Linked DNA regions of Oryctolagus cuniculus. The protein of the gene in region 3 interacts with the protein of the main gene of each other region in a biochemical or structural test. Links are inferred from orthologs where the notes say so. Each region holds a gene or a part of one and is shown on either strand. Other genes may lie near its edges.

Region 1 (3,693 bases), on a different chromosome or scaffold from region 3:
CTGAGAGTGAAACTCGGTTTTAACAAGTAACTCATTTTTATGAAATGTCTAACCAGAAGACTAGTTATGAGTTAGAACAGTTCAGGTTTTTTTTTTTTTTTTCCTTAAAATACCCTTTTACTCAAACTGAAAATACACTTGCTGGAATCTGACTTGCACCAACTGATTCTTCATTACTCCTGAAACATCTACTCATCTGACAAACACAGACTACTCCCTCCCAAGGCCAGGCTCGGAGTTCCCTCTGGGAGCTGCCACTCAGCACATGGTCCCTACTCAGCACTTAATAGCTCTCCTAAAGACAATTTTAAAATACAAAATTATACCTGCATCTTTAAAAAAAAAATGTTAAAACAAGAACTTAAGAAAATGGTTAAGGGGGTGATATGACCTTAGAGTTTACATACATATAAAGTCTAAGCCTTAAAAAGTTCTAAGTTATATTCCTAGTGTCAGAATACCTTGACAATGCCTTGAGAGGCAAACTAAAAATATCCTGAAACACTGCCCTTATCTTTAAAGAAAGCTACTCCAGCAAGTTGAAGTAAGTTGTATCCATTTCCAAGGACGTGAAAGAATGGCTAAGTACACACAGTACTCTGAATGTCAAAAAAAAAATTTAATTGCAAATGCTTTTTAATAGCTTAAATAGAATTGATAGATGAGCAAATCAGTCAAGTACTTAAATTCCAATACTAAGTGAAATTGGATTTGACAATCTTCATTTTGTGACTGAGAACACAAGATACAAGGAGCCTACAGCAAGAAGGCACTTTACTTTTACGAACCACTTGGCAAAACTGCACGTAATGCCTACTAATGAGGTTATAAGTGATACTTTTACTCTTAAACACTGTTAGGAAAAATAAAGTCCTGACTCCTTCTCCAAGGAACCTCAATAAGATGTGAGGAAGCTGACCTTTCTGACACATTAACCACAGAACCGACAGGGTATGTGAGCCAGTCGCTGTAACGCTCGCGCGGGGAAGACCACTCCGTGTTACGCCGTACAGTCACGCTAAGGGGCCAGGCGAGGCGAGAAAGGGGTCTGATTCAAGCAGCGAGTCTTTTCACATCCAAAACCGTGAGAAACTGTCGGCTTTCGGGGGCCCGCGCCGAGCGCGTCCTCCCGCGGCCTTCAAGGCGGGGAAGGGATGCGCCAGCCACCCCCCACCCGAGTCTTTGCCAGCCTCGCTCAGGATGTCCTGCCGTGGCCCGGACGCGCACCTCCTCTGCGACTTCCCCGGCCGCAAGGGTCACAAAACCCCCTGCGTCGGCCCTCACCGGCGCACCAGCGCTTCATAACACTGAGGTGGCGAGGCCAAGAAAAGGCGCGCGGGCGCGCACACACACACCCACCCTGGCCTGCCTCCGTGTTTCTAATTATTAGCCTCACACCGTGGCCAAGCCCATGTTTGGGGCGCTTCCCTGCGTGGACCGGGGCCGGCCCGCCGCGCTGGCCCTTTAAAGGCGCTCGCTTCCTGCGCCCGCGGCCCCTCCCCAGCCGCCGCCGGCGCCCGCCCCCGCCGAGGGTCACACTTGAACTTAGCTCGCCCCGCGCGGCCGGGCGCCGGCGCTCCGCAGGCGGTGGCCGCCCCTTCGCACGTGTCGGAGGCGCTCCCTCGGGCTCGGCGCGCCTGGACCCCAGCACCCGAGGCCACCCGGGATAAAACCAAAACAAAGCCAAAAGCGCATCGGCCTCCAGAAGTGGCGCGGCCGACCCCGCACCGTCCCAAGGCTGTCCCCTCCACCTGCAGCCGTGCCCCCCGGGTTTGGGTGCCCCCCTCGCCGCCCCCTCCACCGCTCGGCGCGGCGGAAACGGCCCCGCGCTGCGAGGGCGGAGAGGAGCCGCCCTCCCCGCCGGAGGTCCGGGAGGCAAAAGGGGCAGCCGCTCCGCGTGAAACCTTCTCTCTCTGACTGGCAAACTTTCCTGCCCGCTCTGACGCCCAGTTCCTGACGCACTTTCTTCACGCCTCAGTTCCCCCCCAACACGCCCCTGTGCCTGTCCCACCGCAACTCTGCGGCGCGCGCGCGCCTCCCCTCCGCCCGGGCAAGCCCCCGCACCTGCCACTTCCCACCCGCCCTCGGCCGCCCGCGCGACCCGCCCAGCCACCCCCGCACCTGCCCCACCGCGCCCCGGTCCGGCCGCTCACCTTCCAGCCCGCCGAGCTGTTGCTATCGCCCTTATCCTTGAAGTAGGGCACGCTCTTGACCATCCACTCGTAGATCTGAGACAGCGTGAGCCGCTTCTCGGCCGAGCTCTCGATGGCCTTGGTGATGAGGTCGGCGTAGGACAGGTTGCCCCACGCGTTGCGGCGGGACGAGCTGCTCTTGCGCGGCTGCCCAGCGAGCGGCCCAGCAGCCGCGGGGGGTACAGGCGGGTGCTGTGACAGTGGCCCGGGCGCCGGGGGCTGCGGCGGCGCCGGGTGCAGGCAGCCCGCCGCCTCTGCGCCCTGGAAGTCCCCGCACAGTCCCCCGGTGGCAGCCGCCGCGGCCGCCGCCACCGCCGCCGCCGCCGCTGCGGCCGCCGCCACGGAGCCGGGCGCCTGCGGGAAGTCCTCGCTCTCCTCCAGCAGGCTCAGGTTGCTCATGAAGTCGGCGTTGACAGCGGCCGCCGAGGCTGGGGGCAGGCCCGCCGCGGCGTCGGGGTTGGCGGCCGCGCCGCCCGACGGCGCCGGGCTGGAGGTGGCCGAGTTGGACTGGCTAAACTCCGGCCTGGGCAGCGGCCAGGTGCACGAGCGCGGCCGGGGCAGCGGCTCGAAGTCCGGGTCGATCTCCACCACCTGAGGCGCTTCGGCCATGGTGACCCCCGCCCCTCCCCCAGCCGCCGGAGAGCCGAGAAGGGGGGGAGCGCAGCGCGGAGCGGAGGGGGCGCAAAGGCTGGCCCGAGATCCTGGGGGGATGGGGGGAGGACGAAGTCAGTGCCGCGAGCTGACGGAAACCGGGAGGAAGGAGCAGCGGAGTAGCCGCGCGAGCCCAGAACTTAACTTCGTGGGTCCATCAACATCCAAGGCTGCTCCGGGTTCGCTGCACCACCAGGACGGCTGGCCAGAGCCGGGCAGCTCCAGGGCCGCGCTCCTGCTGACAGGGCCACGGACGGACGGACGGACGGACGGACACCGCGGGCCGCTCGCTCTCGCCGGCGGCGCGAGCGCGGCGCAGCTGCCTGTTGAATGCGCTGGAGGCGGCGGCGGCGGCGGCGGCGGCAGCAGCAACTACGCGGCTGCCCGACTTACGGGATCTGCCACCGCCCCCCGCCCGCGGCGGCGCGCGCGCCGGCCCGCCCCCGATTGACAGCCCGCGCAGCCAATGGGCGCGCGGCACCGCCGCCCAAGCAGCCAGTGGGAGAGGGCTGGGGAGGGGCCCGGTTTTCCACGAGGAGGCGGCTGTGGGTTGGTAGGGGGGTAGTGGGGTGTTTTTCTCGTTGGCGCACACGCACGTTCTCTCTCTTTTTGTGATTATTTTCTGGTAATTCTCGAGTATTTCTGCGAGTCTCTCGCCCTCTTACTGTTTTGACTGCTGAGAGGCAAACCAACGTGGAGGCGGCGGCGACACTTTGTTTACTACGGGGGAGCCGAGCCGTGGACTGGCGAAGCCCGAGCGGAACGAGCGGCTGCCGTGGCCCCGACCTCCGCTCGGCGCCCAGACCAGGGCAGGGCAGGGCAGGGCGCGGGGCGGGGCGGGGTGGAGGCG
Region 2 (2,782 bases), on a different chromosome or scaffold from region 3:
ACAGTGGCGCGCGAACCTCTGGGAACCACTCCAGAGTCGCTCTAAAGCCACGGCACTGGCCAACCTCCGCCCCGACGCGCCCTGGCCCCTCCCCTCAGCCAGTGGCTGGCCGCGAACCAGGAAAGGCGCGGGATTCAGATCGCATCCTGACTCCAGCCAGTATCAAGGCTCCATTCTTGAGAAAAATCCGCCCCATCCAATAGGTGATCCATGGATTTCTGAAGACTCAAGGACTGCTTAGCCGACGTGATTAGTGGCTACAGGTAGGTAACAGGGAGAACTGCAGGAATTTCACTCCATTTCACTGTCGAGGAGCTGGAGATGTTAGAGGGGGCTCTTCAAAGCTCATGCGAACCCGAGTTCACGAAATGCGCATCTCCCATCACATCGCGAACCCCAGTCCCCGACCCCGACCAAAGTGCCCTAAGGTTACTCAGCGCCGACCTGCACGGGATAAACACGCGTTCTGGGGTCGTCACTAACGCCAGCCCTAACACCCGACCTAAACCCACCTCAACAGGAGCAAAATACAAGGACGTCGGCCACAGCTCTATTTGTGAAAGAGTTGGTGGCTCTGAAAAGAGCCTTTGGGGTGAGGGGCGGCGGCGCCAATTCGGGAGCTCACTTGGAGCTGGTGTACTTGGTGACAGCCTTGGTGCCCTCGGACACGGCGTGCTTGGCCAGCTCACCAGGCAGCAGCAGGCGCACGGCCGTCTGGATCTCGCGCGACGTGATGGTCGAGCGCTTGTTGTAGTGCGCCAGGCGCGAGGCCTCGCCGGCGATGCGCTCGAAGATGTCGTTGACGAACGAGTTCATGATGCCCATGGCCTTGGACGAGATGCCGGTGTCGGGGTGCACCTGCTTGAGCACCTTGTACACGTAGATGGAGTAACTCTCCTTGCGACTGCGCTTGCGCTTCTTGCCATCCTTCTTCTGCGCCTTTGTTATCGCCTTCTTGGAGCCCTTTTTGGGGGCGGGAGCGGATTTGGAGGGTTCAGGCATTGCTTTTAATATTGGCTGAGAGACTAAAACAGACTCAGTCTACAGCTGATTAGTGATGACAGGCCGGAGTGCATATATTTATAGTCCCGTAATTCAAATGAGGGTTTGAGACTTCTCACTTCTGATTGGACAACAAAGAAATTTTCTCTAGGGGGGTTGTTTATGCAAATAAGGTATCCGGGTTGTCTTTTCCTATTGGGCAGAAAAGGCGAACCTATTTCGACCAATAGGATGACGTACTGTAGTAGCCCTGCGCTGCTTATAAAAGCACAGTCTTGGCGGGTATGGTTTTCTTTACTTCAGATTGCGAAGCGTGTTTGGCTGTACCATGTCTGGGCGTGGCAAGCAAGGCGGCAAGGCGCGCGCCAAGGCCAAGACCCGCTCCTCCCGGGCCGGGCTCCAGTTCCCCGTGGGTCGCGTGCACCGCCTGCTGCGCAAGGGCAACTACTCGGAACGCGTGGGCGCCGGCGCCCCAGTGTACCTGGCGGCCGTGCTCGAGTACCTGACGGCCGAGATCCTGGAGCTGGCGGGCAACGCGGCGCGCGACAACAAGAAGACGCGCATCATCCCGCGCCACCTGCAGCTGGCCATCCGCAACGACGAGGAGCTCAACAAGCTGCTGGGCCGCGTCACCATCGCGCAGGGCGGCGTGCTGCCCAACATCCAGGCCGTGCTGCTGCCCAAGAAGACCGAGAGCCACCACAAGGCCAAGGGCAAGTGAAACCACAGTAAAGACGACGCAACTCTCGCTTTGAAATACCCAAAGGCTCTTTTCAGGGCCATCCACTGTTTCACAAAAAAGCTGCTAACCCTGACTGGAATTAGTCCTTCCCATGGTGATAGCGTTAGCGCTTAAGAAAACTGTGGAAACAAGTGAAACGTGTATTTATTGTGACGGATGAAAGGCCACACAGTGACGGGGGGTGTGTCAGTCGGGAAATAGCCCCCGAGGTGCAGCTGTTTCAAACGTAAAACGCGTTTTGCCTTAAGTCAGGGCACCTTTCCGTGGCTCAGTGTTTATCGGGCGCTATTAGACGGCAGGCCCAGGTAATTAGGGATTTCGGGGTCCACGCTAGGGCCTGTTACTGAGGTAATCTCCCTCCACGGTTAGGTACGCTTCTGAGATGGAATGATCCAGATGTTAGAAAACGTCTACCATCCCAAACGGACAGTGGATGAATCCGGCCAATCAGGTTGTCTGAGTGGACCAATCATCGAAGTTCCTCCTTTAGCCAATGAGTTTGTCGCGCGGATTTTTTGAAAATCCGGAAGCCAATCACAGTAGTCCTAACGATATTTAAAGGCAGCTCTGTCGCCGCAGACAAGAAGTTTGAGTCCCACCGGCGCGAGATGGCTCGTACTAAGCAGACAGCGCGCAAGTCAACAGGCGGCAAGGCGCCGCGCAAGCAGCTGGCCACCAAGGCGGCCCGCAAGAGCGCGCCGGCCACGGGCGGCGTCAAGAAGCCGCACCGCTACCGGCCCGGCACGGTGGCGCTGCGCGAGATCCGGCGCTACCAGAAGTCCACCGAGCTGCTCATCCGCAAGCTGCCCTTCCAGCGCCTGGTGCGCGAGATCGCGCAGGACTTCAAGACGGACCTGCGCTTCCAGAGCTCGGCCGTCATGGCGCTGCAGGAGGCCTGCGAGGCCTACCTCGTCGGCCTCTTCGAGGACACCAACCTCTGCGCCATCCACGCCAAGCGCGTCACCATCATGCCCAAAGACATCCAGCTGGCGCGCCGCATCCGCGGGGAGCGGGCGTGAATCCTGTAAGCTTATCGGA
Region 3 (3,648 bases):
TGCAACAGCCGGAGCTGAGTGCTGATTCAAAACACACAGCTCTGCTTCTTTTTTTTTTTTTTTTTTTTTTTTTAAAGATTTATTTTATTTATTTGAAAGGAAAGAGTTACAGAAAGAGGTAGAGACAGAGACAGGTCTTCCATCCGTTGGTTCACTCCCTAGATGGCCGCAACAGCCGGAGCCACACTGATATGAAGCCAGGAGCCTCTTCCAGGTCTCCCACGTGGGTGCAGGGGCCCAAGGGCTTGGGCCATTCTGTGCTGCTTTCCCTGGCACATTAGCAGGGAGCTGGATCGGAAGTGGAGCAGCTGGGACTCAAACCAGCACCCATATGGGATGCTGACACTGCGGGCCAGGGCTTTAACCCACTGTACCGCAGTGCTGGCCCCGCCCACCTAGATTTAAGAGCCTTGCGTTAAGACTGAGTGACAATCAAGGTCTTTGCTGTTCACGAGTCATCTGTAATTCTGTTTTCTTAAGGTGATGGAGGAGGATTTGCAGGGCTCCTCCCAAATTAAAGAAGAAACAGATTCTACAGAGCAGAAACCAGAACCAATGGAAGTGGATGAAAAGAAACCCGAAGTAAAAGTGGAAGCTAAGGAGGAAGAAGAGAGCAGCACCAATGGGACGGCCTCGCAGTCAACATCCCCTTCACAGCCACGCAAGAAAAGTAGGTCTTTGGCTCTGTGACCCGTGCGCGGTGCTTCCACACTGGGGATTGACAGCTACAGCAGACCAATAATCCTGTGTTGCTTGGCCTGCCATTCCTCACGCTGCACTCCTTAGCAGTGGTGTGGGCTGGGCCCTGTGTGCGCAAGCCCTGAGCCGCCTTCCTGAGAGGCTGCCCACAGTGCACGGCTGGCTTTAGACAGGTTGGCCCTGGAGGTACAGGGAACGTGCCTTGGGTCATCCAGCAGGCAGAGGAGTTGGGGCTGACTCGCGCTGTGGGAGCACCAGTGATGGGCTCGCGGGGCAGAGCAATTTCAAGGAAGTGGCCACTGTGTGCACTTGACTGGGCAGGGGTGAGGGTGGTTTCTGCTGGTACCTTGAGGAGTCCCGGCTGCTGGAGCACACGGCGGGATCATGCCTGGTGATGTGGGTGCTGGGCAGGGTCGGGAAGCTTTGGGATCTTAGATGTGTGGAGTGATCCAGCCGCGCAGTGGCAGGTGAACAGACCCAGCCCATTTGGGTTGCATCCAGAGTGTCTCTTGAACCTGAGCACTGTGGGATGGGAGAAGGGTCAGGGCTGCTGGCGACACGTCGAGGAGAGTGTCTCTTGGACCTGAGCACTGTGGGATGGGAGAAGGTTCAGGGCTGCTGGCGACACGTCGAGGAGAGGTTTCGGAGAGAATGTGGAGGGGGAGCTGCGAGATGCTGGAGCACAGCTGGCTTCAGGCCTGCTCTTGGTCTTGACAGTTGGAGACCCCAGAGCTTCTGTTCGTGTGGATTGCCTGTCCCTGTTCACTCTCCTAGAAGTCACTTGAGGGGGTACAGCTTCTGTGTGTTTGCCATACGTAACACACTTTATGAAAACTACCTTCTAAAATGAGAGTAGTGATGTTGCTCTACCATTTTGTTTCTCTCTGACGAAGTTAGGGACGCAGCTGGGTCTGACCTGGCCCTCAGTTGTTTTGTGAAGCAAAGAGGGTTTTAGTGCCCTTCAGGTCATTGTGGATATCTGCTTTGATACTTCAAGTGGGACTTATCTTTTCTCTTTTTGTTAAAATTCATGTATTCACTTGAAAGGCGGAATTAAAGACTGACACAGAAGGGTTCACTCTCCAAACGGCTACATTGCCCGAGGCTGGGCTGGATCTCCAGTGTGGGTGGCGGGGGCCCAGGCAGGATTCAGACCAGAGCTCTGATGTAGGGTGCTGGTGTCACAGGCGGCAACTTGACCTGCGGCACCACAGCGCCAGCCGGGCGGTGATTGGAGAAGGCCGCTTGCTGCGTGGAGTCTGAGCCCACAGCAGTGAATTTTTGTGCTTTCTATGACTGGAACACACTGGCCCATCTTGCATTTTGAAGGATCTTTTGTGTTTGGGTGATTTTTTTTTTGGAGGGGAGGGGTGTGACATCATCCTTAGGTCATCTGAAAAGTACTAGTTTTGTGATTTATGTAGATTTTTTAAGATTTATTTATTTATTTGGAATGCAGGGTTACAGAGAGGTTGAGACAGAGAGAGAGGGGTCTTCCATCTGCTGGTTCACTCCCCAGATGGCCTCAATGGCCGGAGGAGCTGCGCTGATCCGAAGCCAGGAGCCAGGATCTTCTTCCAGGTCTCCCATGCGGATGCAGGGGCCCAAGGATTTGGGCCATCTTCTGCTGCTTTCCCAGGCCACGGTAGAGAGCTGGATTGGAAGAGGAGCAGCTGGGGCTTGAACCAGCACCCATATGGGATGCTGGCACTACAGGTGGGGGCTTTACTTGCTATGCCACAGCGCCGGCCCCCTGTAGATTTTCTTTCTTTATTTTTTTTGTTAAAGATTTTATTTATTTATTTGAGAGGTAGAATTACAGACAGTGAGAGGGAGAGACAGAGAGAAAGGTCTTCCTTCTGTTGGTTCACTCCCCAAATGGCCGCAACGGCCAGAGCTGTGTGTATCTGAAGCCAGGAGCCAGGTGCTTCTTCCTGGTCTCCCATGCGGGTGCCAAGGACCAAGCCCTTGGGCTGTCTTCTACTGCTTTCCCAGGCCATAGCAGAGAGCTGGATCGGAAGAGGAGCAGCTGAGACTAGAACTGACGCCCATATAGGATGTCAGTGCCACAGGTAGAGGATTAACCTACTGCACCATGGCGCCGGCCCCACCCCCTATAGATTTTCTAAAGGTTGACGTGTTTCACTATCAAGTATAGAAAAACTCTGTTCATTATTATCACCATCGGTCTTCAAGCAAATCTTAGGAACGTAGAGGCGCTGTCAAGCCCCGTGGCAGATGGAAGTCTTCCCAGACTCTTCATTGTGGATGAAAGCCCACATTTTGTCATTGGCAACAAACACTGTCAGTTGTTCAAATGTGGCATGACTATTTTTTTTCTGAATAGTTGTTAAAAATACGTAAAATCCATTCTTAGTTCCTGGGCTGCACAGAAGCGAGCAGCAGGCCAAATGTGGCATGTTGGTCATTGTTTGCTAGTCCTTCATCTGGAAGAATGGAAAACCTATTGATGAAACGATTGTTTTCTTATAAAGAGTTATGCAGGCCGGCGCCACGGCTCACTAGGCTAATCCTCCACCTACGGCGTCGGCACCCCGGGTTCTAGTCCCGGTCGGGGCGCCGGATTCTGTCCCGGTTGCCCCTCTTCCAGGCCAACTCTCTGCTGTGGCCAGGGAGTGCAGTGGAGGATGGCCCAGGTCCTTGGGCCCTGCACCCCATGGGAGACCAGGAGAAGCAACTGGCTCCTGCCATCGGATCAGCGTGGTGCGCCGGCCGCAGTGGCCACTGGGGGATGAACCAACGGAAAAGGAAGACCTTTCTCTCTGTCTCTCTCTCTCACTGTCCACTCTGCCTGTCCAAAAAAAAAAAAAAAAAAGTTACGCAGATAACCAAATGCCGCTTCGTCTCTGTGTAAAGCAGATTGGTGGAAGCCAGGACACCTGGGGGCGCCCAGGTCTGCCAGTGCTGGTGTGTCGCGTGGGGGCCGAG

What was found.
Region 1: the proteins of CREBBP (region 3) and FOXO1 form a complex in vitro, tested with the Homo sapiens proteins (3 studies listed by BioGRID, with this or other methods). The link is inferred for Oryctolagus cuniculus from reciprocal best matches to the Homo sapiens genes CREBBP and FOXO1.
Region 2: of the proteins of CREBBP (region 3) and histone H2B type 1-B, one has a biochemical effect on the other in vitro, tested with the Homo sapiens proteins (2 studies listed by BioGRID). The link is inferred for Oryctolagus cuniculus from reciprocal best matches to the Homo sapiens genes CREBBP and H2BC3.

What each region holds. Positions count from the first base shown.
Region 1 is NC_091440.1:72,838,331-72,842,023, reverse strand, and holds the start of FOXO1 (forkhead box protein O1), read right to left. Parts: upstream 2,938-3,693; 5' UTR 2,802-2,937; coding exon 2,154-2,801; intron 1-2,153. UniProt on the Homo sapiens protein: Transcription factor that is the main target of insulin signaling and regulates metabolic homeostasis in response to oxidative stress.
Region 2 is NC_091436.1:153,352,379-153,355,160, forward strand, and holds histone H2B type 1-B, read right to left. Parts: upstream 1,331-2,782; 5' UTR 1,003-1,330; coding exon 622-1,002; 3' UTR 566-621; downstream 1-565. Other genes in the region: histone H2A type 1-B, read left to right, coding at 1,331-1,723; histone H3.1, read left to right, coding at 2,353-2,763. UniProt on the Homo sapiens protein: Core component of nucleosome. Nucleosomes wrap and compact DNA into chromatin, limiting DNA accessibility to the cellular machineries which require DNA as a template.
Region 3 is NC_091450.1:31,772,265-31,775,912, forward strand, and holds part of CREBBP (CREB-binding protein), read left to right. Parts: intron 1-480; coding exon 481-670; intron 671-3,648. UniProt on the Homo sapiens protein: Acetylates histones, giving a specific tag for transcriptional activation. Mediates acetylation of histone H3 at 'Lys-18' and 'Lys-27' (H3K18ac and H3K27ac, respectively).